Arabidopsis thaliana: one gene and its partners. The protein of the gene in region 1 interacts with the protein of each later gene in a pairwise test. Each region holds a gene or a part of one and is shown in the gene's direction. Other genes may lie near its edges. The genes, in order: PIN4, AT1G25510, AT2G41190 and NPC3.

Region 1 (8,519 bases):
ATTCTAAATGACATATGTTGATTTTTGGGGAAAAAAGAAAACTTGTGTTCTTTGAAGACAAATTATAGTTGCATTAATGTTGTGATCTAAGTCATAAGAACGCGAAACACTGTAGCCGTTAAATTTAGTGGCCCATCATAACTTGGGCCTTCGACTAGTTCAGTGGTTTGGTACCTCTTAGTTAAATTCGGTTCGGTCCGGTACCAAATAAATTTGGCCGAGGCCTAAAACTAGTTTGTGTTTATTTCGAGACACCAGACTTGATCAAGACATCAGACATACCCCTCTAGCTCATTGGTTTGTTAAACCATCAAGCGTCTGCTTAGGGAATAATAAGGACGCTTTAGCTCTTTTGAGTTTTGAGAAAATCACAGCTGTGATCTTTTCTTTTGCATGGGACCAGAATCCAGATCATCGTGTCTTACCATAAGATTTGATCCATTGCGAGATATTACATGTAACGAACGAACATGCATATGTTTATTATTATAAGCATATATATATATGAAAAGAGCATTGATCTTGTAGGTACGCCAAACTCGATACGTTTCTATCTAAGGGTCTATAATTCTATTTATATCATCGTAATCTTGATACTATAATATGTGTTTGAATGCTAGTTTATTTGTAGTTAATGTAACAAACAAAAAAAACGATTAATGGTGAGTGTGACTCGTGCTCTCGTTTCTTCAGTCTTCGCCATGTGATTAGGTGTGTGTTAGAAAATATGTCGTTAATTATAACAAATATACCCCCTCGTCCGAAAATACTCAAATCTCCTAAACAATATCCCATGATTATTGATTGGTCGTATCAACTATCAAGTAGTGTTAGGTCAAACTCTATTTGTCTAGAAAATAAATATATGGATCAGACATGATTGGGTTGGACATATAATTGAAGTGTCTTATGCGGGCGGAATAATAATAATATGATCTTGGACGGGAAATGATATACAGTACTCAAGTGCTTAATCCATGATCCTTTGAATTTGAGCAAGTTTATCTACATCACAGGTCTGGTAGATAAAGATGTGAATGATATTCTTACGACTATATATTTTGGTTACCAAGCAATAATCATTGTTACAATAACACATATATATTGTGGAGAGAAACAAAACTATAATTTGTTATTACCAATTCATTCGGATGCCATACTTCTTCAGTCGGCTACGATGTAAGTTTGATTTTATCGAAAATGTTGAGATCAATGATCACGGGTCAAGACGGCTTGCAGGGAGCTCGAAGACAAGTTGAACGTTGCCTTCGGAGATAGTGAAGCCGATCAAAAACCGTTTTTCAATAGTTACAATATCATTGAACTGATCTCCACATTCTCACTTTTCTATGTTTCCTGGTTTGTAAGATTTTTGAACGATCATTTTAATTTGCTTCCATTGTATATTTAAAGACCAAAGTCTTGATGGATGATGAAGTAGACTTGAAAATTGATGAAACCCGTTATTGTGTTGTTGTGTTACAAATCCCATCTATGATCGTTGATCTCATAGATGATCATTGATCATTTTTCTCATTTTTCTATGATGAAGTAGACTTTTTCCGGAAGGCTTATGAGAAAAAAATACTATTCTTGTTTTGTAAACATATGTGTTCAATAAAGAATCTATTTTCATTTGCAATCATTCGGATTAATTAAAGTGATTGCTGGATGAATGTTTTGAATCTCTTTTTACCATTTCGCTACAAAAATAAAAAAATTGCGAATTTCGCATCCAGATATATACTAGTATTAAGCATGGGAGATTATTCACTCCTCGAACACATCCTATGACTATGAGTTACACAAATCAAAATTTTTACATTCCAACGTTGATGATCCTTTGGATTTGGTATTTTTCCATGTCATACTATTGTAACTTTGTTTGTAATTTCTTTCTGGTCAATATTACTCTATTGTGGATGCAAGATCGCATAACTAGTCCTCCATCGAATCAAACATGATCACAATTTTAAGAATCAAACTGGACTTTTATATACCGAAATAAAGTTACAAAGATTTCGCTGAGATGTTCTTACTTCTTAGAGCTAGATGAGTAAGTAATATTAGGGATTTTCTAGTGTACAATTGATGCCTCTATACATTACTCTCCATCAGATTTATAGGACTTGACCTCGTCTGCTTCTCTGATATTTCCCAGAAATCTCGCTCCTTTTAGTTTCTGCTTGAATCTATCAAATCCTAGTGATTTTGCGACCACCTACTTCTTTATTCTTTCCTTTTTGTTGGTTATGTCCAAACTGATTTAAGAGTATCCACATTGGTTATTTTTATGAGTGTTTTTAGATGGCTATTTTTAAATATAAAAGAGTAAAACAAATAAAAAATATGAGGGTCATTAAAATGAAAATTATATCTTCCTAAAACATTTAAGACATCTATACCTTTAATATTATTTTATATGAAATACATCTATGAAAAATTATTCGATGAGGATGGTCTAATGAGTCGGAGAGTCTCAGACCAACATCTATCTATAACTATTTTTTTTTTCACTGGAAATATAGATTTCATTGATAGAAGATCTGAGTACAAGAGCTGACAAGAGAAACACTCTTCTAAAAGCCGGAGAGTACATGGGACCTTCCAGGAACTAAAAACATATTTAAATGAAACAAAGGGGAAAAAAACCGATCTAACAAATTACATCACATCTGATCAAGTACTTCCCAGACCCAAAATCCAAGAGTTCAAACGAAATATACAAAGTCTAAAACAACAATGATAAACTGATAGATCTGAGACTAGAAGCCTCACTTAACTCAACCTAAACACGAATGGGCGATGAGATAAAACCATCATCCAGAGACCCAAAGGAGTGAGAGCCTCATGAAGGAGAGAACGAGATCGGGATCTTCAGGTGGAATTTCAGAAGTCTGAGGCGAAAATTTGGATAGAAACGCTTCTGCCTTGGATGGATCGGCCAGATCTGACTCTGTTCTTGAAAAAGACAAAAGACAAACAGCAAAAACCTAAAAAGAAAAAGTTTTAGACTTTAAATATCTAGATCTGAAAATTCAGATTCACAACCGTTGGAAAAAAATCTCTCAGATGTGTCTAAAGAAAAAAGATAGAATAAGAGCAAAACAAAAGACTTCGGTTCCGGTGCTGAGAAAGCCACCGGAACCGGTAACCCTAAACGCAGGCGGCGGCTGAAGTTTTAGAGATAAGGGAGAGTAAAATTTTAAGAGTGAGAAAATGACGAGATGTGAGCTTGTAAATACTTTTTGTAATATAAGTAACTATAAGTAATATTTTTTTTGTAATACCTCAAATTTTATTTTTAATGATATTTACAAGTTTAACAAAACAAAAACAAAAAACAAAATATTATTCTAGTCATAGCAAGTGAGAATTTTTGAAAAGGGAATAAATGTGTGTAATTAATTCAACGGTCCAACAGTGGCTTGGACCTAACACTAATGACATTTGTTCTTCTTGTAATTTTTATGTGGCTGTCTTCTTGTACCAAGTACGTAGACAATAGTTTGATTCTATTTGGAATCAAAACTCAAATTACATTTACAAGAAAAACGATCACAGATACAGTAATTCGTAGTATTCGCCAAAGTTCCTTTTGCAACTTTCAAAAAGTGCAAAAACAAGACCACTTTTTCGTAATAAGATAGTAGCAAAAAAGCACGACTATTCCATAAAACTGTCCACGTCCCTCCAGAAAACTCCCCCCACATGCGATTTGCCACGTGTCCCCACTCAACTACACACAAAGCCATTTTAAATCAAATTATTAATCAAACTTAAAAAACGTAATCGTGTGCTGATGATGATGATGACACTGTCACTGCCTCAAAAACCTCTATAAATTAGTCCTCTTCACCGAATCCTTGTAAATCATTACTGTACTTTTCTCTCTTAACGGTTTCTTTATTATTCTTCCCATTCTACCCCTCTTCTTCCTTCTAATTCCCCCTCAAATGCCACTGTCTTCTCACTAAACTCCAAAACCCACCGGAAAAAATGATTACGTGGCACGACTTGTACACCGTCCTCACCGCCGTGGTACCACTTTACGTAGCTATGATTCTCGCCTACGGATCCGTACAGTGGTGGAAGATATTCTCACCAGACCAGTGCTCCGGCATCAACCGCTTCGTCGCTATCTTCGCCGTCCCTCTCCTCTCCTTCCACTTCATCTCCACCAACGATCCTTACGCCATGAATTTCCGCTTCGTCGCCGCCGACACGCTTCAAAAAATCATCATGCTCGTCTTACTTGCTCTATGGGCTAACCTAACCAAGAACGGTAGCTTGGAGTGGATGATCACAATCTTCTCTCTCAGCACTCTCCCAAACACTCTTGTCATGGGGATCCCTCTGTTGATCGCCATGTACGGAACCTACGCAGGTTCTCTAATGGTCCAAGTCGTTGTTCTTCAGTGTATCATTTGGTACACTCTCCTTCTCTTCCTCTTCGAGTACCGTGGCGCTAAGCTTCTTATTATGGAGCAGTTCCCGGAGACTGGTGCGTCTATTGTTTCGTTTAAAGTTGAATCCGACGTCGTTTCTCTCGACGGTCATGATTTTCTTGAGACGGATGCTGAGATAGGAAACGACGGGAAGCTTCATGTTACCGTGAGGAAATCAAACGCATCGAGACGGTCACTGATGATGACTCCACGGCCTTCGAATCTTACCGGAGCTGAGATCTATAGTCTTAGTTCGACTCCGAGAGGTTCTAACTTTAACCATTCTGATTTTTACTCTGTTATGGGGTTTCCCGGCGGGAGGCTTTCGAATTTTGGTCCGGCGGATTTGTACTCCGTTCAATCTTCTCGTGGTCCGACTCCACGGCCTTCGAACTTCGAAGAGAACAACGCCGTTAAATATGGATTTTACAATAACACTAACAGTTCTGTTCCGGCGGCCGGTTCGTACCCGGCTCCGAACCCGGAGTTTTCAACCGGTACGGGTGTTTCAACTAAACCGAATAAAATTCCTAAAGAAAACCAACAGCAACTGCAAGAGAAAGATAGCAAAGCGAGCCATGACGCTAAGGAGCTTCACATGTTTGTTTGGAGCTCAAGCGCTTCTCCGGTCTCCGACGTGTTTGGCGGAGGTGCAGGCGACAACGTGGCAACGGAACAATCTGAACAAGGTGCTAAGGAGATTCGGATGGTTGTCTCTGATCAACCTCGAAAGAGTAATGCTAGAGGTTCTTTTTTTTTTTTTTTTTTGTCATCAAATATTATTTAGCTAAAATTGCGGAAAATTGTTTACATAAATAATATGCTAGAGGTTTGTTGGTTTAATTTTATTATTATTCGAATACTATTATTTTTGTATGTATTCATGATTTTTGGTTTTCTCAGGTGGTGGTGATGATATCGGCGGTCTTGATAGTGGAGAGGGAGAAAGAGAGATAGAGAAAGCTACAGCAGGGCTGAATAAAATGGGGTCTAATTCCACGGCGGAGCTAGAGGCGGCTGGTGGAGATGGCGGCGGCAACAACGGAACACATATGCCGCCGACAAGTGTGATGACACGACTGATATTGATAATGGTGTGGAGAAAGCTGATCAGAAACCCAAACACGTACTCCAGTCTAATCGGTCTCATATGGGCTCTTGTTGCTTACCGGTCAGTGAGTCCAATCATTTTCTTACTTACAGATTTTATGGATAAATGTTATAATAAGAAAAGGAAATAATATAATCATCTATGCATGGAATAATTGTAGTGGGAACTAATAATGAGTATGGGTTGTTTTTGGAAGCAGGTGGCATGTGGCTATGCCCAAAATATTACAACAATCCATCTCCATACTCTCAGATGCTGGTCTTGGAATGGCTATGTTCAGCTTAGGTAAACACTAACCTTGCTTCATGCAAATCTAGACTTGTTTTGATGATGATCTAATCTTTAAAGTTGGGTTCAAATTTGTTCTCATCTTATCTGTTAAAAAAGATTCATTTAATGCAAAGTGGGTCTGTGTGTTTAATTAGTCGTAGTTGTCCAGCTTGTAATTGGTAAAAGTCATATAAACTGTACAAAGCACTTACCCAAAGAGAGAATCCTGACCCTCTGACCCAGACATGTTGGTGTGTCCGGTCCCCACGCCGAGTCCCCACTGGCTCTGTCTACTTATTTGGGTCTCACCAAGTAGATGACCTAACTCTTTGCTGTCAATTTTCTCAAATCCTTTTAGTTAATGAATTGCTTATTTTTGGTGTAATTTTAAGGTTTATTCATGGCACTTCAACCCAAAATCATTGCTTGTGGGAACTCTGTCGCCACGTTTGCCATGGCGGTCAGATTTATAACCGGTCCGGCCATCATGGCTGTTGCTGGGATTGCCATTGGCTTACACGGCGACCTTCTCCGTATAGCCATCGTTCAGGTATACAAATTTATAACGTTACATGATATAGCTAGGTCTATTATAAATATTACATGATCACGATGATGATGTTGATGAATGCATGAATTATTAGGCTGCGTTGCCTCAAGGAATAGTTCCGTTTGTGTTTGCAAAAGAGTACAATGTGCATCCCACGATTCTAAGCACTGGGTAAGTTCCAAACTTATTTTATGTTACAGCCACATTTTTATTTTTGTTACAAACTTACAATATATTAACAAATGTGTGAATGATGGTGAAAAATATGGATGCAGGGTCATATTTGGAATGTTAATAGCCTTACCTATAACTCTGGTCTACTATATTCTTCTTGGCCTTTGAATTGGTCCCTTCAGTATCAACTGGCTTTTGAGAGAGCCTCGGAGATTGGGCTATTTATTTCTCGGTAACGAGGAAATAAGCAAAGCCTTTATTTTTCGTGGGAAAGAGTGGAAGGTGAAGAAGAAGATATGCCTTTGGTTTTTGGTTCCAATATTTGTGGAACACAACAAAAGTACTTAGGATTTAGTGAACAAGACTTGAATGGATTAAGGATCTTGTCTTCATTAGACGCCAAGAAGAAAAAATCTCTCTTCCTTACCTTTATTTTTTCATTTTCTGTTTTTGTTAATTTATGTGTAGATTTTGGCTAAGCAGATATGTAATATGCACCTTTTTTTATTAATTGAAGTTTCTAGTTAAGTGGTTTATACTGAAACTAGCTTATGAGTTGGATTGAAATAGTCCTATACTATATATATACACCCTCGTACTGATTTATTTTTTCCACAAATACCATTAATATTAATTCATCGGGAAGAGATTCTCCGCTAGAGAGAGCCATTCATGAACCATTATGCTTACATAGGAGAAAATATTATTTCTACCCCGAGCTTTTTTAGCTAAACAATCAGTTCGAGTGTTAAAACTACGAGAAAAAAATCTAATACGGAAAGAAAGGAAAAAACAAACTAAGGAGCGATAGGATGCCAATTCCGCTGCGAATGTCGGTCAATCGTCTTGATTGTCAATGATAGAAATCAGGTCTGAACAGTCAGAAGCAAAAGTTTCAAAAGACAGTAATTTTATTTTATTACAGTTAATTTAAGCATATTCCTTGATAACAAACACTGTTTTACGACAGAAGCAAAATCCTAATCTCTAATTAATTAATCCTATGATCATACGATGCATGTTTACGGTCCCGTTTTTTTAAGAATACACGATCTCTAGCAGAAAAAAATCTCAAAAAGTTTATGTTAACTTCAAATTCTGTGAACTTCCGCACATGAATCTAAAGACCACCCTTTATAGAAAAAATGGTCCCGAGACTATCAAACGTAGTCTTTATAATGTCAAAGTAGTGTGAATCTCATTTTTCAAACATTTTTAATGTTATGAATTGATCATCTGATTTTCGTATTAGGATTGGTCATTCAAATACGGTATGATTACTCATCCAACAAGTAGTAATTTAACGAGGCATCAATATACTATATAGAAAACAAAGCAAATATTCCGAAACTAACATCAAAACTAATGGGAGAGTGGATGTGAAGAAAATTCAATGGAATGCAAAATCTAAGATGGACCAACATGCAGGCTTCGCCCGAAAGCGACGACGCATTTCACTTGACGACAAAAGTTGCCATATTATATCTTTTGCAAGTAAAACTTGTTGTGTTACTCGTTTACACACATGCCCCGATATTCTTATTCTTATCTATATGCCCATAGAAGTTGTGAGTTCTTTTATTTTGGGAAATTCTAAAGGATTCGTTTTGAACTATACATTTTTAAACCTATAGAGTTCAAACTTTTATGGAAAAAGAAAAACTTCCCACGTGTGTTTCGAACATCAAAATTCGAGCATCAAAGTATTATAACAACATGGACCACATTTTCGATTATATCAACATGTATATCTTCGTGGAACTAATCAACAGTCAAAATGTTGAGTTTATCATATTTTCGTGGAACTAATCAACAGTCAAAATATTGTGTTTATCATATTCCCACATAGTATCGATAATATCACCAAAAAGTTTTTTTCATTCCTTCAAAACTGAACAACTTCGATCATGCATTCACTTTGAAAGTAGCAGCTGGCTATTCCTTTAACTGATTTAATTGTGACTAT
Region 2 (7,179 bases), on another chromosome or scaffold:
GTGATGCAGACACAAAATGATTGTAGCAGTTTTGCAGTGAAACTTACACAACTCCACCAAGGACCACCCCAAATGGATTTTCATCTGCAGCTAAACCAATTGTAGCAAGCTAGACAAGAGAGTTATGGTGAGTATGTGAAGCATTTAAGATTGAATCAATTCGAGTAAGTAAAAGTTACCTGACTCTTGTCACCCCATTCTCCAAAGAAATTAATCGAAAAAGCCTGCAAGTAGAGAGGGGAAATATGAAGTTAGTTCAGAAAAGTCTACTGCTTTTGTGAGCAAATTCTGTTTTAGTTACCTTGAGAAAAATTGGAGAGAAAAATTGCGTGAGGAACGCCCTATTCTGCTTTTTGTTTTCATCTTCTCTCTACAAGGACAACAAATGATTTGAAAACTTAGCACAGGCAATTTCCACTTGCAGTCTCTGATCTTGTCGTTTTGGTTCAATACCTTACTACTGTCTTTTGGAGATTTACCATTAGCCTTCAAATCAGCATCCTATAATTAAAACACAAGAACGTCAAGCCACAAAAGCATTTATCTAAACGTGAGAGCGAACATGCAGAAAGAAGAAACAAACCAGTTCTGCTTCGACTTCAGCCAATTCTTCCGAACCCCTGCCAACAAAGTCAGATAATCTGAATATCTTGGATTAAATCATCCTTATGACAACAAAATATGATGAAGAAGTATTACCCTCCTCCTTCTTTGAAACCGTCCCACAAAGACCATAGCCCAAAACCAAAGAACAACAATGTTGTTATGTGATGAGTCCATTTGCGAGAGATCTGAAGGTGAGGGTTTGAATCAGTATTTACTATTTAGTAAGAAAAAAAGGCTTATGTAGAAATACAAAATAAGTTGAAGCCATACCAGATTAGGAGCAGCCCATCCAAGAGTAGCAGAGAGGATAGTCATAACCTAAGAATTAAACAAAGACATAAGCTTCAAAATCTATGGAGAGAGGTCACTGAAACCAATAGGTCAAAGCATTCAGAAAAACTTACAATCAGAGCCGATAAACAACCAGCCAACACAAGTCTCCTAGGATAACGCATAGCCAAAATCTGATATGACAAAAAAAAAAAAGAGTTTAAGCTTGCAAAATCAAGATAACAACAGAAGTATCTTACACACCTTCAAAGAGCCTGTGGCAGATTCTAAACTACCAAAACACTATGAAACTGAATGGCAATATAAAAGCTACAGACAAAGGATCCAAAGATGCCATCTAGATTCTTAATCAGGAAAAGGCAATCCAATAAGTAAGACTTTAGACTTCGATTCATGTAAAAGCCATTGACTTCATCGACCTTAAACCCTCAATAGATTACATGAAGCAACAAAATCTAAAACTAAAGCGAAGAGGAGACGAAACACTTACTGCTGCAGCGAAAAACGTCTTGTCACCAATCTCCGATACAAAGGTCATAGCAAGTGACTTCGTAAAACCCTATAAAACCCCAACAATCATAAACCCAGATTAGCTCCACAACGATTCTTACGAGTTTACTCCCCAGAAAACATTAATCTTTTACTCTACCTGCAAAACCGAGCTCATGGCTGCCGAATTATAAAATCGACGGCGAATTAGCTACGAAGGAGAAGAAAAAAACGAAACTTTCGATTTTTCTCCGGCTGTGTTACAAAGAAGACGGAGTGATCAATCGCCGGAGTTAATTAACAGTCGTCGAGAGAGAGCAAATAGACGAGACGAACATTCGCTGAAGAGCTAAAAGATGAATCCTTTTTTTTTGGGGATTGTAGGTGAATTTGATTCTGATTCTTTAACCCTTAAGATCTTACCACGTGGATTGATAACAACCAACGATTTTAATGTGTGGGACCCAGAAAACCCAACTTGAGTTTAGAAGATGTTAATTTGTTCCCTTGTGTTGTTGTTTGCGACTTGCGTCACTTGCTCGAGCAAAACAATAAAGACTTTTACTTCTTTGATAACTAACTTGTCGCGATCACGATTGAGACGTAACGTTTAGAATAGTATAACACGTAAGTTTTTGAGAGATGCTCAAAACTGATTGGGTATTTTAGTATTTTTCGCTTATCTCAACTAAATTTTATTTCGTTTTATCCTACTATTTTATACAAATAAAAAAAAATTGACCGATTTCTGATTGGTGGCGAATTGATTCGCAAACGTATGTAATTATATTTGATTTGATCCAACTGTACTTATATTAATATTAATTTATTTAATTCTAAAATTGATGAATAACTAAAATCAGGTGGCAATATTCTATCTATCTCAACTGCATATCATGTTAAGCTGAGATTAGAAGTGTATTTTAGAATTTATAGTTTAGATTTAGGCAGCAAGGTTAATGAGTTAATGTAGTAGACTTGGGGTATGAAATGGCCCAAACATCCAAGTTAAAAGCCTAGATAAGAGTTACCCACAGGCCCATGAGGGACCATAAATTCACCATTTTTAAGTCAGCAAATTCCTCCACATTGTTAATACCTTAACATGATATGCATATGTATGTTTTTTTGTTGTTGTCAGATTGCGTATGTATGTATTGGTTTACAGTTATAGCTTTCTTTTTAGGTTAATTGTTTAGTATCATATAGCTTTATAGACATAGGTCTGGATAAAATGAAATAAGTGAGCTGTTATAATTTGAATGAAAGTCATCATTAACAAAGCTAAGCTCATAGCCAAATAAAATTTGTCAAAGTGCGAAGATGTGAAACACTCAAAAGTGGCTGACTTAATAAAATCTAAAACAACAATCTCCACACTAACCGCATTGAGATCATAAAACAAGTTTATTTAAATCCTCACACTTAAAGAGGATGAAGAAACCTCCTCTTCCTCTTTAACCATTTATCTAATCTTTGGATTAATTCTTCAAGAAGAGATACTTACTTATATAAATCTCCTCGAAATCTGCAAACCCCCAAAACACAGCTTGTCTTTGTTTTAATTAAAAGAAGCTTTTGTCTCATTTTCCCTTCCCCACCAAACACACTTTTGTCTTCTCTTTAATAAACCTCATTCACTTCATCTTCTTCACTGTTAACGGTCGGAATCTAAAAAATGTCTCCTAACTACTCCTTCTTCTTCTTCATCTTCTTCCTCACTTCACACTCTTCTGTTTTCTCCAGAATCTTACCAGAGACCTCCACAACCACTACCTCAATTCTCAATGTCGCTGACTCCATCCACAGAACCAAGTATACGTCGTCGTTTCGGTTAAACCAGCAAGAAGAACAGACTCACTCTGCTTCTTCTTCTTTCAGCTTGCAGCTTCATTCACGAGTTTCCGTCCGAGGAACTGAACACTCAGACTATAAGTCACTCACACTAGCCAGACTCAACCGTGACACAGCCCGAGTCAAATCTCTCATAACCCGTTTAGATCTAGCCATCAACAACATATCCAAAGCAGATCTCAAACCCATCAGCACAATGTACACCACTGAGGAACAAGATATCGAAGCTCCTTTAATCTCCGGCACGACTCAAGGAAGTGGCGAGTACTTCACACGCGTCGGTATCGGAAAACCGGCGCGTGAAGTTTATATGGTTCTAGATACTGGAAGTGACGTGAACTGGCTACAATGTACTCCTTGCGCTGACTGTTACCACCAAACCGAACCAATCTTCGAGCCATCGTCGTCTTCTTCTTACGAGCCTCTCTCTTGTGACACTCCACAGTGCAATGCCCTTGAAGTCTCAGAATGTAGAAACGCCACGTGTCTTTACGAGGTTTCTTACGGTGATGGTTCTTACACCGTTGGAGATTTCGCCACCGAGACTCTCACAATCGGCTCAACTCTAGTTCAAAACGTCGCCGTTGGTTGTGGACACAGCAACGAAGGGTTGTTCGTCGGCGCCGCCGGTTTACTTGGACTCGGCGGTGGTTTGTTAGCTCTTCCGTCGCAGCTCAACACGACGTCGTTCTCGTACTGTCTCGTTGACCGTGACTCAGACTCGGCTTCGACCGTGGATTTCGGGACTTCTCTTTCTCCTGACGCCGTCGTGGCTCCGTTGCTACGTAACCACCAGCTCGACACGTTTTACTACCTAGGCCTCACCGGAATAAGCGTCGGCGGCGAGTTGCTTCAGATTCCTCAGTCTTCTTTCGAGATGGACGAGTCAGGCAGCGGTGGGATCATCATCGACTCAGGAACCGCCGTGACTCGTCTCCAGACCGAAATCTATAACTCGCTTAGAGACTCGTTCGTGAAAGGAACGTTGGACTTGGAAAAAGCAGCCGGGGTGGCGATGTTTGACACGTGTTATAACCTTTCGGCTAAGACGACGGTAGAAGTCCCGACCGTGGCTTTTCATTTCCCCGGCGGGAAGATGTTGGCTTTGCCGGCGAAGAACTACATGATTCCGGTTGACTCGGTGGGGACATTTTGTTTGGCATTTGCACCGACGGCGAGTTCACTAGCGATTATCGGAAACGTGCAGCAACAAGGGACACGTGTCACTTTCGATTTGGCAAATTCTCTCATTGGATTCTCGTCTAATAAATGCTAAGCTGTTTTCATCAAAAAAAACAAAAATGCTAAGCTGTTTTTTCTATAAATATATTTGAGTTACAATGAAAAGGAAAAGTCACTTAAAAGATAGTAATGTTAAGTTAGAGTACTGTACTACTGTTTGGTTGTGTTTGTTTCTTGTACTTGTTGTTGCAATGCATAGAGTGAAAAAGAGTAAAAAAAAGATGGAATTTGTTTTTGCTAATTTTATGATTAAAGAGTAGAACAATGAATCTTGAGGGGCCTTGTTACAGGTCACATCACACACGAATGAATGACTCCTTCTTTTCTATGACGCATGAATACTCGTAGTGTTGAGAGTTAAAGCCCAAATACAATGTGTGATCGAAGAAGTTAAGCCCAAATACAATATGTGATGTGATACAAAATAACAAAATCTTTGTAAACCAAGAAACGAATGATTGAAAATACAATCTCTTATATGAGTTATGATCATGAAAGTGTAATCCCTAGTACTAACTGATATGAAACAAAGAAAAAAGTGATATGTTTATGGAAGATGAATTTACACAAAACTAAATTAACTCTGGTGATATTCTATTGGATATGTTTAATGAACTCTAATCATTCTATGTAAACAGTATTTTTTAAAAGAGTAACATGGCACAGAGATTTATATTATCAAAAGAGAAAGAAAAAAACATGGCACAAAGAGAGGTGGCGAAGTCATGGTGCCACTACTTGCCATCACAACATATGAAGTGGCAGCTATGGGTTCAATCATTTTGTCCTTAAAAAAAAGCTTTATTTTCCTTTCTCCTTTTTATATGTCAACCTTTTACTTTCTCCTTTGTTCATCCAAAAACATTCTCTTACTTTTACAGTTTCATGCTAGACATAAAACTTATGCCATAAGAGCAAAAAACCTGGATAAAATTCAATGTTTTTGTTAATATTTTCACAATTAAAATAGTGGTATATTTGTTGACAGAAAAAACAAAGAGTCGTAGATTCAATAGATGATTTTGACCGGTTCTTTTAAATATCTGAATAATGAGGTATACAATTCATACGTACATTAAACAACGTCCAAGCAAAAAAAAGAAGAAGAATACATAATTATATAATACAATTTATATCAAACATTTACCACACTTCCCTTGTAGGTGAATTTATAAAAACTTTGACATAAAGTTTGAGAAAACTATATGCAATTTTTCTGTTATATGCATTAAAGGTCCATTTCCAAATAACAAACAGAAATAAAGCAACGAACCAAAAAAGAAAAGAAATAATTTTGTGATAGGAAAATTAAAAAGAAAAAAACGTGAATAGTTACGGAGGGAGAAAGTGTGATCTGAAAACGACCACTGCTTATCCAATAAAAAGGAAGAAGACGAAGAAGAAGAAGAACCGCTCTGACAAAACTTCTTTGCCTCACTCTCTTCTCTCATCGTTTTTCATATTTCTTCTTTGATTCACGTTTCTTTTCTTTTCCTCTCATTGACTATTCTCCCTCACTTCTCTCTCTCTCAACTCTTGTGATATTTATTCAAAGATGCTTCCATGAAATTTGGTTTTGGTCAGTGAGTGAATCTTCTCTTCTTACTCCATCATGAGTGACTCCACTAACAGCGTCTCTCCTTCCTCTGATTACGCCTCCATCTCCTCCGGCGACCAGGTTCTCCACCCTTACTCAATTTCGATCTGGGCACGAATCTCTTTCTCTTATAATTTCTGTACAAGCGAAGTTGTTATGAGAATCCCTTTCTGGGTTTTGCTTTTTAGAACATAAAGTCATTTCCTTTACGAGTGTGATCTTGATGAACTCATATCTGGATTTGTTCCTTACATGTTAAGAGCGATTGGTTACTTTGGCTTTGTAACTTTAATCACGGGTCAGTCGCAAAGTTTTTTCTTTTTGATAGAAAATGTGTCTTGTGTGAGTTTGATCACTTTATGTATTTGCATTGTACTGATATGAAGTTTCAGAGTCGTTGCTTATGTTAAAGCATAGCTTTTTGTAGGTCTCAGACTCGTCCATGATGTAATTTGAATGAATCAATGTTTTCATTTTGATTTGCAGAGTCTTCAGCGGAGTCGAAGGAGTGGAGATGGAAACCGAGCCGTTGTGCGTGAGTCCCGCCATTGGCATGATGTATTCTGGTCAGCCATCTTTGTGATCCACTTGATTTGTTTGGGATTTGTGCTCGCGGTGCTTGGACTCAATAGGTTTAGAATATCAGATAGGTTAAACATCGATAGGTACACTCAAGGGTTCTTGGAGAATCATAAAGGTCTAACAGAGGATTACTGGCCTCTCTATGCTGTTGCTGGTGGCATTGGAGTCTTTATCAGTTGGGTTTGGTCATTGCTGCTTGGCTCTTACGCCAATGAGATGATGAAAGTTTCGGTTCACATCTTAACAACCTATCTAGCTGTAGTTAGTGTACTATGTTTCTGGTGCAGACTGTTCTTTTGGGGCGGTGCATTCGCTGTTGGATCTCTGTTGCAGTTCTTGTATGTTATTTCAGTTATAGACAGGTGCGTCCGAGGTTGAACTGGTTGAACTATGACTGAACCCCTATGGTCAAATGGCAACAACTTTTTAGTTCTGATGATTTGAGTTGTTCATGTGTAGACTTCCTTTCACAATGCTGGTCCTACGGAAAGCGCTGAAATTAGTCTGGGGACTTCCTA
Region 3 (8,085 bases), about 17 Mb from region 1:
AGTCCCCATTGGGAAGCACTCTCTCGGCATGGTAGAATTCCTCTAAGCTGCTCCTGTTAGTGGTGGTCTCATCGTCATTATCATCAGTTGTAGTATCATTATCTGTATGTGGAGCTACCGATACTGTTCCAAAAACGCTATTAGCCCGCTTCTTCGCTTGCTGAGTCTTTCGCACGGTCACCTCCCATGCTTTTAGAACATAGCTTTGGTCCTTGCTCATTATGTTAAACTAAGGAAACGTCTATCTAAAAACCTGTATATTATTAGTACCTAGATAACAATCCTAAAGGTATCATCAACAAACATATGTGTCACAGGTCATTTTTCTTTTGCCTCTGTGAATCTCGGAGGCAAAGAGCTTACTTTTTTCTTACAAATTGCAGCATTACTGGATTGAATGTTTCTCTAGACCATGTTCCAAACCAAACAAAGAAAAACAGAGAAAAATCTAATGGCCAAAAAAATAGTTAAAAGGGAAAAAATGTCTCCGAGATTTCATCTTTTCTTATCAGTTTTAGAAACTAATTTTGTCATTCAAAGAAAGGACTCGTTCATATCCTCAAACCAATGAAAGCCTTGAAATTTAGAGAAACAAGCAAGACCCTCGAATTCTCTATATTTAGCATCTCCTTGCTTCCCTCTAGCACAAAGACATTTATTTCATATTTTAAAATATGGACCAATTTAGACGAATAAGTTCGTTAGTTAAAATCACTGAAAAAAACAGAGTTAAACTCGTTGAGGCATTCTGTCGAACAACATAAGTTCATTTTTTTTTCCTTTTCATCAATCTAGTAAATGAACTCAAAGAGTGAAACTTTAAGCTTCTCCGTGTATCAAACACATATAATCAAATCACCAATACAAATTTAGCAAACAAAGCAAAGCTCGAAAGGATCAAACAATTAGTAGAGACTTCATATCTTATTGAGCTTGGCGAGGAGGAAGACGGTGGCGGAAGTGATGGCGGGGATAAACAAGTCGTTGGGAACGGACGTCGGAGCTATACGGTTCTTAATGAAGACGGCGATCGCAGGAACTCCGAAGATGAAAAGTAGAAATTCCTTTACTCCTCCGACGCCGGTGAACCCAACTCCGATTAAAACCTCTTGAAGAAGCTTCTGAAACTCGTCCTTCGATAGCTTCTTCCCCTGCCCGAGATTGTGTATCTGCTCGTTTCAAAAGTATAAGAGACGAAGAAGATGATAAATCTTTGATCCCAGTAATTAAACCAATTGGTTAAAACATTGTGATTCAATTGTAAAATCTTATTTTGGTTTATAGTAAACCAAGTCTAAGCCTCTCTATGTAACAGAGACTTAGATTTGGGCAAAAGCGTTGAAGTTATTTTTTAATGTTTATCGTTGCATAACAATACTTATCATATTCGCTAATCGCTAGGTATAAATTATGTTTTGCTCAAGTATATATTTCATTTTTAATATTCTTTTCGTGTTATTAAATTTAGAAAAGGTTAAGAGACCAAATGTTTACAAATTCCTTACCTAATTTTATCAAATCAAAAGAAGTGTCATTAAACTTATATAATGAAGAATAGAAATTGAAAGAATTTAATACCTCATAAGCTTGTTGTAGTTTCTCAACACTTGGCACCTTAAGTTGAGTGCCACCGAGTCTTCTGTTAATTTCCCTGTCGCACCAAATACATAAAATACGAATATCACATCACATGTAAATATCATTACCATAATCATAATATCATGGTGCCGACTATATGGCTCGAGTCTTTATCGTTTATTTTTATTTCTTAAATCATTGACTTATAAACCGCCCATGAGCATTAAATAATTTGTCTCAAAAACTCGAAAGAAAATCGTTATTGAAAATGGTTTAATAACCAAATCTAATCCTTTCCGACTCATATTGGTTTCATTATAACACTTAACAAGTAAAAGAATTTTACTCGACTGCTTCAGCCACAATGCGGTAGAAGTCGCCAAAGGACCATTCTTGATCGTCATTTTTTTCTTCTAAGCGTTTGCGGTAGCAATTTTCAGCCATAGCTTCCAAGTCTTTCGCGTCTACCTCTCCTTTACCTTTTGCTTCGTTCCATAATTAAGTATACCAAACAAAAAAATGATAATTTTATTAATGAAGTGAACATCAATGAAAGACGTGATTTTGGGGGAGAAAGAGAAAGGACGAACCGGTATTGAGAGCTTGACCCATATTGTGATAACTTCCTTCTTCTTGTTTTTTTGCATATCGTAACAAATTTGAAGGATAATATTGAGAAATAAATTTTGGAGACCGTGACTTGTGACTTGTGAGGTGGGATCAGTATCTTGGCATTTCCTGATCGATAAGCCACGTACCGGAAGCGTGACAGTTTAACTTAAGGATCTAGAGAAAAAGTGTGAGTCTATTCATTTCATATTTTACATATAGCATATAAATACTATTTTATTTTCCTTTGTTTACAGTTTAATAGTTTTAGACTCACAATATGACTTTTGAAAGCCAAAATGTAGCAGAACAATTAAGTTTTTTTAATATTCCTTTTGAAATGCAAATATGTTTTTAACCTATATAACTGGCAACATTAAAAGGAAGAGATTCTCATGATTTGCAAAATATCAAGGTGGAAAAGGCATGTAAATCTTTATTTAATATATATCTTTGTTTAAAACCACATTGGAGATAATTGACCAAAAAAAATACAATTTTGTCAAAAAGCTTAAATTATTGGATTGTTAATGAGCATATGGAAGTTTGACACTTGGAGAAAATTCACATGTCACCACATAGAGATAATGTATTTCTATGTTCACTAACACGATTACATTTACACCCCATTCCCTCGTCGACCTTGAGTCACTCCCATCTCCTTCTTTGGACTCTTGCGAGACACTTAGATTTAGAACAACAAATGAGTTTAAGTAAGTACTAAGCCTATGAAAAAAAAAAAAGGTAGAATAAGCTTAAGAATCCAGCAACATTCATGGTATCATTCGCCATTTATATCTTAAACGTGAAAGAAATAAAGAGAGAAAGGTTATGAATTCCTTTTGTCAATAGATATCATTGGAACTAAGCGTTATGAATTCTTTTTGTCAATAGGCTAAAAACCGTTTTATATATTTTACAAGAAACATGATTTTTCCATAATATTGAAACTTTATATATTTCTTAATATTCTAGGCATTTATAAATTATTCTATGTTTTGAATATTTATTTTAAATTTTTGGAGAATACTAGAACATATAACTTTCCAAGTCCTAGTGATCCCGGCTACGGCAACACATCCCTACGAGGGATCAATATATCGAACCATCTCAACGCAACACTTGTCGTCGATCAAAAGTCTAAAAACATTGCTTCTCAACTTTGATCTCTTTCCTCTAGTCTCTATCATCACCGCCACGTCACTATTTTCCCGCCTTATAACTAGGGGCAATCAACTCTCGCGAACAGAGAGAGACGGAGAACAAGAGCAATCAAATCACACAAATCCTCGAAAAAGTAAAATTCTTGATTAAAAAAAAACGGACATTTTGTGCTCAGACACTCAGCTTTCCTTATTAGTCTTTTGCCACCTCTCTGCAAAGTTCTCGAACCCACTCTGTAACCAAAATCAATCATAAAGATTTGATCTTTTTTTTTCCTTTTTCGGTGAGATTTAATCCTCTAAGGTTCTTGATACTCTCTAGATCTATTCTTACTTGGGTTTGTTCGAAATATGGAGGACAAGAACAATGATAAGGAGAAAAAAACCGACGTTACGTTCGAAGATGACGAAGATAACGAAGATCTAGAAGACAACAGCAGTAAGTACGAGAACGACAGTGAAACTGATCAAAGCGATCTCGGAGATCTTCCTGGTGATGCTGTTGATCGTGACGACGACATCGATGAACCTTTCATTTCCCAGGTTCAATGGCCTCAAAGCTTCAGGTAATTAATTGTAAAGCTCGAAACTTTCCTTGTAACCCATCTCATAAAGTTTTGTTATTTGAGATTTTGTGATGAAACATTGACAAGTTTTGTGGTTCTTTTAGGGAAACGACTGATTCTTATACGATTGCGGCATCACCAATCTTCGGGTCGCTCAGGAGTAATCCTCCGAGTTTCTATAGAGCCAGCAGAAGTAATTTAGATGTTGAGTCAAAAGCACCTTTGCTTCCTGAGAGGCATGATGATTCAGACAAAGCCTCAGCTACACAATCTGCTTGGTCTCATAAAGGCTCATTTGCTGAGGAATTGCCCATTGGTGGCTATGGATGCAGCGTCATTCAAACCATTTTCAATGGTAACTAAAAACTGATTATGATTCTTGGCCTAATTAAGAAAACATGTGTAACTCTATATTGGTTGCAGCTATTAATGTAATGGCTGGAGTTGGACTTCTCTCAACACCTTATACAGTGAAAGAAGCTGGTTGGGCAAGTATGGTAATTCTTCTCTTATTTGCTGTTATTTGTTGTTACACTGCTACTTTAATGAAAGACTGTTTCGAGAACAAGACCGGCATTATCACTTATCCTGATATTGGAGAAGCAGCTTTTGGCAAATATGGTCGTATTCTTATCTGTGTAAGTGGTTCCATAGATTTTATCTTCCTTTTGATTATTTTGATCAGTTGTTCTGTTTTCAGTTGCTTATGGTTTCTGCAATGTTATGTGTCTTTTGTGCAGATGCTATTGTACACAGAACTATATGTAAGTGAAGATTTTTTGTAGCCGAATTTTACTCATGGATCTAGAGCTTGTTTCTGTCTCTATAATTTAAACTTACTAGATTCGCTGTCCACTTTCTGTAGTCATATTGTGTTGAATTCATCATTTTGGAAGGAGATAACCTTACCGGGCTTTTCCCTGGTACATCCTTGGATTTGCTCGGGTTCCGACTTGACTCTAAGCATTTATTTGGAATCTTAACTGCTCTCATTGTTCTTCCAACTGTTTGGTTGAAAGATCTACGCATCATTTCCTACCTCTCAGGTACAATCAACTGCATTTTTGTTTTCTTCATATGATTGAATTCTTTCGTCAAGAATATTGAATCAGTTCACTTGTTTTTCTTTGGTTCTATAGCCGGTGGAGTTATCGCAACCGCTTTGATAGCAGTAAGCGTGTTTTTCCTCGGTACAACGGGCGGGATTGGGTTTCATCACACCGGGCAGGCTGTGAAATGGAACGGGATACCGTTTGCAATTGGTATATACGGGTTTTGCTATTCAGGACATTCAGTGTTCCCAAATATATACCAATCCATGGCTGATAAAACCAAATTCAACAAAGCAGTGATCACTTGGTAAAACCAAAAACTTTACTCTTATATTAGCTTTTGATGTTTAATAATCCAATTCTGAAACCAACAATTTTTGTTTTGTTGCTACATTGCAGTTTCATTATATGTGTTTTGTTATACGGAGGAGTTGCAATCATGGGTTATCTCATGTTTGGAGAAGCTACCTTGTCTCAGATTACACTAAACATGCCACAGGACCAATTTTTCTCAAAAGTGGCACAGTGGACAACGGTTAGAAAACAAAACCAGTTTTTATTTTTCTCTCCATAATCTTTGGAAGTTCCATTTTACACTAAAACTTCATCTTGGTTCTGTTTTCTCCTTTTCTCAGGTTGTGAGTCCGTTTACAAAATACGCTCTCCTGATGAATCCACTTGCAAGGAGTATAGAAGAACTATTACCGGAAAGAATGTCAGAGAACATATGGTGCTTTCTTCTTCTAAGAACAGCACTCGTCGCTTCTTCTGTTTGTTCTGCTTTCCTTATTCCATTTTTTGGTAAGAACATTAAGCTAGAAAGGTTGAGAACTCACTCGTGTGTCGTTTTACTAGATTTGCTCCTTAATGGTCTTTTTTTGCAATTGGTTTTATTTTCCACACAGGTCTTATGATGGCTCTTATAGGATCTCTTCTCAGTATACTAGTGGTTAGTTTCCATCATCCTCTTTAATATCTTAAGAACATTATTGTTTTCAAAAAATGTGACACTCAAAACAGTTTTACATAAATGTATGTATGGTTCAGGCAATAATAATGCCAGCTTTATGCTTCATAAAGATAATGGGGAACAAAGCAACAAGAACACAGGTATATAAATTGAGCCTTGTTGTTGTCCTGTTATCAATTTCTTGAAATTATTATGGGATGATGAGTTTCTGTATTTGGATTCTTAAGATTAACACTGAGTTGTGTACTACAGATGATTCTGAGTTCGATCATTGTGGCCATCGGGGTGGTAAGCGGGACCTTGGGGACATATTCTTCGGTGGCAAAGATCATTAGGAACTATCAGTGAAGGAACTCCATGACAAAGAGACCCATAGTTTATCCCCTGTACTTTGAGTTGAATGTTTTTGTTGAAGCTAATAAACTCTTGATTATGAAAGATTATTTTGGACTTGAAAGTTAATAAAACTAGTGAAAGGTTTACTTTCTCATAGGTGTCACATTTGCTTTTGTATTTTTGTGTATCTACTATCTCTTCATTTTTCTGAGCATCTTTCTCATGTTTAGATTTGGGTATAATGAGCTCGCCTATTTGATAAAGGCATTAATAATAAGTATTAACAACACAAATAAACAAGGAGGTGTTAACCTCAAAAGATAGATATGTAAAACAAAAAATTTAAAATTTGGTTCTCATGATGTTCAAAAATCTGCTTTTTTGAGTGTCACAATTTGATTATCGGGTCACAACTATTTAACACAGGAGGAAAATAGACGACTAGTTAACAGTGAAATTTACTCAATTTATCGAAAATATAGGCAAACCCAACGGGAAAGAAGTTAGAGGAAAAAAAAACAGTTTTTACAAGGTTAAGATTGACATAATTCTGTTGAACGATATTGTATTAATTAGTATCGGCCATTTAGTGACCCAAATATCTCCCGTCTCGTCATCACCGACTTAACAAGGTGGAAGGAAAATTACGAGACTTGAGGTTTGTCGGTCCTGCTAAAGTGTTTTAATGCTCCCTAAAAACATTCTTATATACAATTGTTTTTTTACTTTTTTTTTCTTAACCATTGACAAAAATTTACAGCGAAACTTAAGGAAGAAAAATCATATTAGTTTTCTCTATGTATATGGAATTGGTTGGTTCATATACCTTTATTGACTATAAGGTACATTAAGTCGATAATAAATTAGTTTTCTTAACCAGTAATAATATGATAGATGGTGACAAGTAAACATAGAGATCACAAACAGAAAGTAAACATATAGAAAATAAATTATATATTAATGTGTCAGTTCTTGCTGACAATTGAAATTGAAAGGAGTCGGTCTATTGGCCGTGCGAAACAAGCGTCAAAACATTAGTCATCTTTTTAGTCAAACAAACCTCAGAAGATAAGATTGTTCCAAGCGAATGCTAACTCATGTGTTTAGAACAAAATATTTTTGAATTGAAAATGGCTATCTCATAAATCGTTCAGGTTTTTTTTCTTCTTCTCTTTACATCGAACCATAGCTCACAAATCACAATTCTAGAGGAATTTAAAAATTGTGAAGCGTTGAATATTTCTACAATTTAAGATATCACAATAGTCAACTATACGATAAACATTTCGTACGAAATAAGTTGTTGTTTTCATTAAATGTTGTTTGTATCAAACGAATATTTCCATAAGATAGTGTGTTTGTAGATTGTAAATATAAAATAATGTGATTAATAAATGATAAGAAAATAACAAAACTCTTCTATCATTCATTCCAAATTTCCAAAATATAAATGTATTATTGCGTCTATTATACAGAGATGGGGTCATCCTAAAAAACAAAAGGGATACATCATACATCTATCCAAATGTTCAACTAAAGTCCGTGATAACTTAAAAGCTCTATATGGATTATTATTTCTTTTCCGTTTGTGATCATTTACACCAGAGATTAAACTGATCACAAAATCACTACCACCAAATTGGGATTTTGAGGTTAATTATTACATAACTACACCAATAAACCCAACTAAAACTAATACGGTTTGATTATTATTATAAAATAAAAAAACCACAAACAAATGAAAGATTTCTATATATACTCACAAACGTAAATAATTCGCGAGAAAAAAAACTATATATGTAATATATCCA
Region 4 (7,779 bases), on another chromosome or scaffold:
AGATATTAATTAATCTAGTTATCTTTAGCTTTATAAGAATTGTATAAATTTTGTCTCTTTTTGGCTATTTCCGTCTATCATTTTATAATGGGTGTTAAATCAAGGTTATTCTTTTGTTTTGGATATCTAATAAATATATCAAACTGCAAGACTCGTTTCAGTTTATGAACAAGTTTCCTTCGTTGTGCAGATTGTAAAACCTTCTAATTAAAACATTAAGATAGTCGTATATATAAACAAAGTAAATCTTATAGTAAAAAGGATAATCATACAAAATATATATATATATATATATATATAATTGTATTAATAGTTTACTTTTTAGGAATTTGAGAAAGCTGAAATATTTGACACATTTCCACCAATACGGAATACAATTCAAGAAAGATTGCAAAGAAGGAAAGCTACCCAACTACGTCGTGGTCGAACAACGTTGGTTTGATCTATTGTCAACTCCAGCCAATGACGATCACCCTTCTCACGATGTCTCCGAGGGTCAAAAGCTCGTGAAAGAGGTCTACGAGGCATTGAGATCGAGTCCTCAATGGAATGAGATTTTATTTATCATAACGTACGACGAGCATGGTGGATTTTACGACCATGTACCTACTCCAGTCGACGGAGTTCCTAATCCGGATGGTATCTTGGGACCTCCACCATATAATTTTGAGTTTAACCGGCTCGGTGTTAGGGTTCCGACTTTCTTCATCTCTCCTTGGATTGAGCCTGGCACAGGTGAACATAATTACTAGTCATAGGCATTAATCAAATTTAGTGGTCTTATATTTTCTAATCAAGATATTAATGTTTAAATCAAAGTAAATGACAATTTTGGTAAAATGTGTAGTTATTCATGGGCCAAATGGGCCGTACCCAAGGTCACAATATGAGCATTCGTCAATTCCCGCAACGGTCAAGACAATTTTCAAACTCAAAGATTTCTTGTCAAAGAGAGATTCATGGGCTGGCACTTTTGAATCTGTTATTACGAGAGACTCACCAAGACAAGATTGCCCTGGTAATTACATTTTTTTCTTTCATCTTCTCTATCAATTTAGGTAGGATAATATCGACTAAAACTTCAGTTTTTTTTCTTTAAATAGAAACATTATCAACTCCGATTAAACTAAGAGGGACAATGGCAAAAGAAAATGCACAATTAAGCGAATTTCAAGAAGATCTCGTTATAATGGCTGCGGGATTAAAAGGAGACTACAAAAACGAAGAATTAATCCACAAGCTATGTAAAGAAACTTGCGTTGCAGATGCATCCAAATACGTTACAAATGCGTTTGAGAAGTTTCTGGAAGAGTCAAGAAAGGCAAGAGATAGAGGATGTGATGAGAACGACATCGTTTATTGCGTTGATGATGATGATGATCATGTTGTGATACCACCACAATCACATTCAGAAGCATCAAATGCTGCTGCTCAACCAAAAACGCAAACGTCTTTTTTCAATAAGTTATTCTCTTGCTTTATTCGCCATGATTGAAAGAGACTAAGAGAATAAATGTTATAATAATAATTTGTAGTCACTTCTCTTGTGTGTGGGTGGAATTTATTTAAGACAAAAAAAAAGAAAACCTTACTAGTCTCTTGCATATTTAATTTCGTTGTATAAGAACTTCCACAATTATTTGCACATTTGATATTCTTGTATAAAAATTATATGTTAGATGAGATCTACTCTAACTAGTTATTTGTTTTTCATTTTTTCTTGTCAACAGCTATATTAAATTGACTAAAATGAACTAATAATGAGAGATATTATTTACATATGTAATTATATGCGATTAGATTCAAATTTTTCATACCATGACTGAAATAAACATTTAAAGATTTCGTGTGTTCCTTTCCACTATCGTTCTTACCCCGACTCATCATGTACAATTATTGAATTTGAATTTTCAAGCATAACTCCCATAAGACTTTTGATCAATTCTAAGTCTCTGATTCATTGTAGCATCACAACCCTGTCACGATTCAGGTTGAGAAGAAAGTGCAGTTGTCACCCCTCCTAGAGTCCATATTACGTTAAGAAACTTGTGTTGCAGATGCTTCCTATTACATTACAAATGCGTTTGAGAAGTTTCTAGAGGAGTCTAGAAAGCAAGTGAAAGAGGATATGATAAGGACGACATCGTTTTTTGCGTGTATGATGATGATGATGATCATGTCATACTAGCACAATCACATTCGAACAACTTGTAGTAATTTGTCTGTGTATGTGGAAATTATTTTTGTCGTAGAAGAACTTACACGATTATTTGTATATTTAATCGTCTTTTTTTGTTGTTGTTGTAAAAGTTGTATATTTAATCTTCTTGTGTATAAAAGCAATTATATCTTAGATGAGATCTACTTTAATTATTCGATTGGTGAGTAGATTATACCAAAAGACTAAAAACTAATTAAAGTCACTAAAGGCAACCAATCTAGCTACTGGGTCCCAAATTTTAATTGTAATGATTATAAGAAATACTGTACTAACTAACACCGTATGTATGCAACATTCTGTCATAATACCACATATTATTAGTTACGCTATTTAAACATTAGTTAGTACACAGTAATCAACGAATGTATGGTTAGTTTTTTCCCTGAGGAAAAACTCTATTTAAAACGACTCATGCGGAGACGTGCTATAGACTATGGTTTTAGCAATAATAATTGGTCAACACCTAATTCAATCTACTCCATTGTTATTTTCATAGATAGAGAGATTAATAAGTAATAATATTCAATGTATATCGCCAATAACCTTATTAATTTTCTTATAATAATGGACTAATGGTAGAACCGTAGAAATAGTTATGAGAAGCACTTGTATCTATATAAACTTTCATTTTGGAGAACGTTTTTCATATGCACTAAATAAAAGATGAGTAATTTCTTCTGCCACCTCACCGAACGTGAGAGTAAACAAATGTGACGATATCCAAAATTCACCGTCTATGTTTTATTTATATGCAAAGATCACTGAGTTGATTCGAATGTATATGATTGATAGTATATAGAAAAATAGTTTTTTAATCTTGAGGCAGAGTTTTTAAGGTGACAACAAAAAATGAAACAAGGTGTATTCAATCAAATATTTAAGTGTTTTTGTGTTAAAATAATAGATCTAATGTTATTAATTATAGATTTTTAAAAGTTTTATGAAATCTAATGTTATTAAATTTGTGATTTTAAAATCTACATTAATTTTTTTTTATTAAAAATATTTTAAAAATTAGATTTAATAATTTTAAGAGACTTAAATGAATTTTAGTGAATTTCCTTAATTAAAAAATACAGAATTTTAAGTCTCATGATTTTAGGTAAATTTTGAGAAAATTTTATAATAAATCATAACAACTTCCTTAAATTCACCCAAATTCTTCAAAATTATATAAAAATTTAAAATAACTTAAATCATTCAAAATAGAAGATTGAATACACTCCCGGGCCCAAGAGTTTTGCAAACAATCATATACATGTAAAAGTTTAAGACTATACCATTTATGTGATTTACTAATCATATAAAATAAATTAAATACACATCGTTTAGTTACCAGTATATAATAAGGCTACCATTTAGACGGACACAGCTAATTATGAGAGATAGACAGAGAGGGAAAACAACTACACAAGTCAAAATTTCTGTTCTAAAAAAGTAAAAGAAGTATGGTGGAGGAAACGAGCTCTGGTGGTGGCTCATCGGCTTCTCCGATCAAAACCATCGTCGTTTTGGTTCAGGAGAACAGGTCGTTCGATCACATGTTAGGTTGGTTCAAGGAGCTTAACCCAGAAATCGATGGAGTATCCGAATCCGAACCAAGATCCAACCCACTTTCTACATCTGACCCGAACTCTGCTCAAATCTTCTTCGGCAAAGAATCTCAGAACATTGATCCTGATCCCGGTCACTCTTTTCAGGTACAACTCCGGTTTAGTTCCAAATCATCGTTAATTTTGTATAGAAATATACACTTCTTAACCGGTCTACTGAACCATAAATATCTTCTTAAATAATTCGGTTCGGGATCTAAACCGGGAAATTGATAGAGTGGTTTATCGACGATCATTGAATTTCAGGCGATCTACGAACAAGTGTTTGGAAAACCATTCAGCGACGAGAGTCCGTACCCGGATCCGAAGATGAACGGGTTCGTACAAAACGCAGAGGCGATAACAAAAGGGATGTCGGAGAAAGTAGTGATGCAAGGTTTTCCGCCGGAGAAACTTCCGGTATTCAAGGAACTAGTTCAAGAATTCGCTGTCTGCGATCGGTGGTTCTCGTCGTTGCCCTCGTCCACGCAGCCTAACCGACTCTACGTCCACGCGGCGACATCAAACGGTGCGTTTAGTAATGACACTAACACGCTTGTTCGTGGCTTTCCTCAGAGGACAGTGTTCGAATCACTTGAAGAGAGCGGTTTCACATTTGGAATTTATTACCAATCCTTTCCTAATTGCCTCTTTTACAGGTAATAATTGGTATTTCTTTTTGTTTTAAATTTCATATAATTAGAAAAGTAAAATTCAAAGTTACGAATTATGATTTTAGTGTAGGAAAAAATCGAATACGAATATATGTTTTAAGAAAAAACATATGGTAGATAATGATGAACCGATGAATTGTAGTGACATCTTAAAAAAAAAGAAGGTGATGACACCTGGATTGCAATGTCTACTTAATTGAAACATAAAGAAAATGAATTTAAATTCTCCATGATTGAGTTTTATTTTATTTTATTGTTGAAAAAGCTTCCTGTAATGAGCATGTCCTAGGTATTTGCCACATGCCTGAAATCTTTCTATTTGTTGTTTATAAGAAAGTGGAGTAGTTGCTTGGAATATTTTTGAATTATAAGAAAAAAGAAGAAGAAAATGATTTCTAGAAATATTTTGGTTTATTAACGGGATTACTAATCTTGATATTTGATTTTTAACCTTTCGGATGACAGAGAGAGATTCGATTAGGTTTTTGCATGTGTCCAACTGTCCACGGAAAAAATTTACGTTTAGTTAATACTTTTTTAATACTCATTAAAAGTGATTAGTGTAAAATGTAATAACTTAATCGCTAAGACTCATATTTAAATTAGGAACATGAGGAAACTGAAGTACGTGGACAACTTCCATCAATACCACTTAAGCTTCAAGAGGCATTGCAAAGAAGGGAAGCTTCCAAACTATGTGGTTATAGAACCAAGGTACTTCAAGATTTTGTCGGCTCCAGCTAATGATGACCATCCCAAAAACGACGTCGTTGAAGGCCAAAATCTAGTCAAAGAAATCTACGAAGCCTTAAGAGCTAGTCCTCAGTGGAACGAGATTCTCTTCGTTGTTGTTTATGATGAACATGGTGGTTATTATGACCACGTCCCTACTCCAGTCATTGGTGTCCCAAATCCTGATGGTCTAGTTGGACCTGAGCCCTATAACTTTAAGTTTGACCGGCTTGGTGTTAGGGTTCCTGCTTTGCTAATCTCGCCTTGGATCGAACCTGGAACGGGTACGTATGTTTTGAATTGGAACCGAGTTGTGTTAGTTTAGACTTTAGTGTGGTATTGTCATGTTGGTCAAAACCGGTTATAATAATTTACTGGTGATGACATTATTTTTTAGTGTTACACGAGCCAAATGGACCAGAGCCAACGTCGCAGTTCGAACATTCATCAATTCCGGCAACACTGAAGAAAATATTCAACCTCAAGAGCTTTCTTACAAAGCGTGACGAATGGGCTGGAACACTCGATGCTGTCATCAACCGGACCAGCCCAAGGACGGACTGCCCCGGTAAAATATATAGTTGGTTATATAGTCCATATTAAACGCAATATATGTTTAATGAGTTTTTGGATTATTACACAGTCACATTACCGGAACTTCCTAGGGCAAGAGACATAGACATTGGAACACAAGAAGAAGACGAAGATCTCACTGATTTTCAAATCGAACTGATTCAAGCAGCGGCTGTACTAAAAGGAGATCATATCAAAGACATTTACCCGTTTAAGCTCGCAGATAAAATGAAGGTTTTGGATGCGGCTAGGTACGTAGAAGAAGCTTTCACTAGATTCCATGGTGAGTCCAAGAAGGCTAAAGAAGAAGGCCGTGATGAGCATGAGATCGTTGATCTTTCTAAAGGATCTACTCGTCACTCGACTCCTAAGTCTTTTGTTCAGAAGTTATTCTCGTGTTTGATTTGTGATAATTGATCTTGAGTTGAAACAGATTTGATCTCTGTGAGATTTGGTGTATTTCTCGGATTTTATGTGAAGAGCGTTTGAAATTTGATATTTGTTTGTTTTCCAAATTTTATGTTTTACATTTCCGAATGAGGTTCATTAGGAGAGGTACCTCCGCGAAAAACAGAGTATTTTAACGAAGGGTTCAACAAAACAGAGCAAAAACAGAACAGAACAGAGGAATTTAAATTGAACAAAAAGCAAATTCTAACAAAACAAAAGAGTGATCCTTTGTTATTTGTAGCTATGATAAGTCTTCCTCTTCTTGATATGACAACTGCAAGCATCCATGGTAGAAGAAGTCATACAACCAAACTTCCTCTTTACTTCTCTCCACACACTTGTCTTCTTCTTCTCGCAATGAACAACACATTCAAGATTCTCAATCTTTCTTTTCTTCATGTAATCAGGTTCTATCTCGAGCTTTAACAACTTCTTACTCATACTCTCCACTTCATCTACTTGATTTTCTGTTCTCTCCACTACACCTTTCATTTCTCTAGCCACCTTATCCCGAATCTGCATCTGAGAAACAAACAAAACTTGCATAACAATCCTCAATGGAAGCTTCTCGTTCTTTGAAGCATGTTCACAAGCCTCGGGTGAAAGTTTCTTACAATGAAGAAACCTACAAGCTTCCATCTTCTCCGATTCAATCAAGTCTCTATGCCTCTCCAAGTAAACATCAATCGCTCTGTATATTCCATCAGAGTAACTCAGCACATCACAAGACGCAGCAACTGCAATTTCTGCTAGTTCCTTGAATGTTCCTACCCTTAAACCAGCATCACTCGCAGCAGCCTCCAACAGAAACTCTTCCAACATTCTCGCTACACTCACAAACCGCGAAAGATCCGGGACACTATCGTTACTATAGAAGCTCTTGAGAATGGTTTTCAAGAGCTCGATGTCATAAGATCCATCTTCTGTTGGTGACAGAATCTGGAGATCTTTTGCTCTAGCCATGTCAAGCTGGTTACTTATCCTAACTTCAAACCCTTTTCGGCAATCAGAGCAAGCACCAAGAAAAATCGATTCTTTCAGCGATTTGAACAGAAATCCAGACGAGATTGTTCCTCTTTGGTGAGGCAAAAGCCTCTCAACAGCTTCAATTCCTTCTCTCTTGTTTCTTGAAACGCTTCCGTCTCCCGAATCTTTCTCGAAAACCCATCTATTCGCGTAATTGCAGACAGAGGCCACAAGGTTTTCTAACGAGACATTGTGCTTACTCACTTCTAGAATCAATGGTTCATATAACCGAAGTGGTAATGTAATCAAATCTTGGAGCAACCTAGTATCGTTGAGAGCCTTTTCGATAAGAGAATCTAAGAAAACTTCGATGAGTCCAACATTAGCTAGTTTGTCCAAAATCTTATCGCTGCAGATACAAAGAGCTTTCACGGTCTCACTCCAGCTCATAAGAACTCGTTGTTCCAAGAACGTAACTGCCTTGTTCAACAAGTTGTTAGAGCTATGATCATCGCTCATCTCTAGGTAATAAGCAATGCATAACACAGAGACGATATTGTCAGCTGATAAT

The links.
Region 2: the proteins of PIN4 (region 1) and AT1G25510 interact in a protein complementation assay, tested with the Arabidopsis thaliana proteins (one large-scale study listed by BioGRID).
Region 3: the proteins of PIN4 (region 1) and AT2G41190 interact in a protein complementation assay, tested with the Arabidopsis thaliana proteins (one large-scale study listed by BioGRID).
Region 4: the proteins of PIN4 (region 1) and NPC3 interact in a protein complementation assay, tested with the Arabidopsis thaliana proteins (one large-scale study listed by BioGRID).

The regions. Positions count from the first base shown.
Region 1 is NC_003071.7:178,680-187,198, reverse strand, and holds PIN4 (Auxin efflux carrier family protein), read left to right. Parts: upstream 1-3,434; 5' UTR 3,435-3,999; coding exon 4,000-5,194; intron 5,195-5,351; coding exon 5,352-5,619; intron 5,620-5,758; coding exon 5,759-5,844; coding exon of another isoform or gene 5,845-5,855; exon of another isoform or gene 5,856-6,221; coding exon 6,222-6,379; intron 6,380-6,473; coding exon 6,474-6,550; intron 6,551-6,654; coding exon 6,655-6,721; 3' UTR 6,722-7,166; downstream 7,167-8,519. UniProt on the Arabidopsis thaliana protein: Acts as a component of the auxin efflux carrier. Plays a role in generating a sink for auxin into columella cells. Maintains the endogenous auxin gradient, which is essential for correct root patterning.
Region 2 is NC_003070.9:8,956,709-8,963,887, reverse strand, and holds AT1G25510 (Eukaryotic aspartyl protease family protein), read left to right. Parts: upstream 1-2,704; 5' UTR 2,705-3,064; coding exon 3,065-4,516; 3' UTR 4,517-4,801; downstream 4,802-7,179. Other genes in the region: AT1G25520 (Uncharacterized protein family (UPF0016)), read right to left, coding at 48-109, 180-224, 302-370, 454-501, 584-620, 700-791, 877-924, 1,011-1,070 and 2 more; AT1G25500 (Plasma-membrane choline transporter family protein), read left to right, coding at 6,095-6,160, 6,566-7,023, 7,121-7,179.
Region 3 is NC_003071.7:17,165,762-17,173,846, reverse strand, and holds AT2G41190 (Transmembrane amino acid transporter family protein), read left to right. Parts: upstream 1-3,287; 5' UTR 3,288-3,701; coding exon 3,702-3,916; intron 3,917-4,020; coding exon 4,021-4,271; intron 4,272-4,339; coding exon 4,340-4,554; intron 4,555-4,656; coding exon 4,657-4,680; intron 4,681-4,781; coding exon 4,782-4,962; intron 4,963-5,055; coding exon 5,056-5,275; intron 5,276-5,367; coding exon 5,368-5,503; intron 5,504-5,603; coding exon 5,604-5,769; coding exon of another isoform or gene 5,770-5,873; coding exon 5,874-5,917; intron 5,918-6,015; coding exon 6,016-6,078; intron 6,079-6,190; coding exon 6,191-6,286; 3' UTR 6,287-6,568; downstream 6,569-8,085. Other genes in the region: PIP5K5 (phosphatidylinositol- 4-phosphate 5-kinase 5), read right to left, coding at 1-220; AT2G41200 (uncharacterized protein), read right to left, coding at 918-1,169, 1,579-1,651, 1,925-2,063, 2,169-2,190.
Region 4 is NC_003074.8:836,402-844,180, reverse strand, and holds NPC3 (non-specific phospholipase C3), read left to right. Parts: upstream 1-3,535; 5' UTR 3,536-3,669; coding exon 3,670-3,921; intron 3,922-4,080; coding exon 4,081-4,472; intron 4,473-5,093; coding exon 5,094-5,503; intron 5,504-5,616; coding exon 5,617-5,787; coding exon of another isoform or gene 5,788-5,822; exon of another isoform or gene 5,823-5,862; coding exon 5,863-6,209; 3' UTR 6,210-6,376; downstream 6,377-7,779. Other genes in the region: NPC4 (non-specific phospholipase C4), read left to right, coding at 326-735, 848-1,018, 1,104-1,495; AT3G03510 (Phototropic-responsive NPH3 family protein), read right to left, coding at 6,474-7,779. UniProt on the Arabidopsis thaliana protein: Possesses specific phosphatase activity toward lysophosphatidic acid (LPA) in vitro. Does not show phospholipase C activity. May play a role in signal transduction and storage lipid synthesis.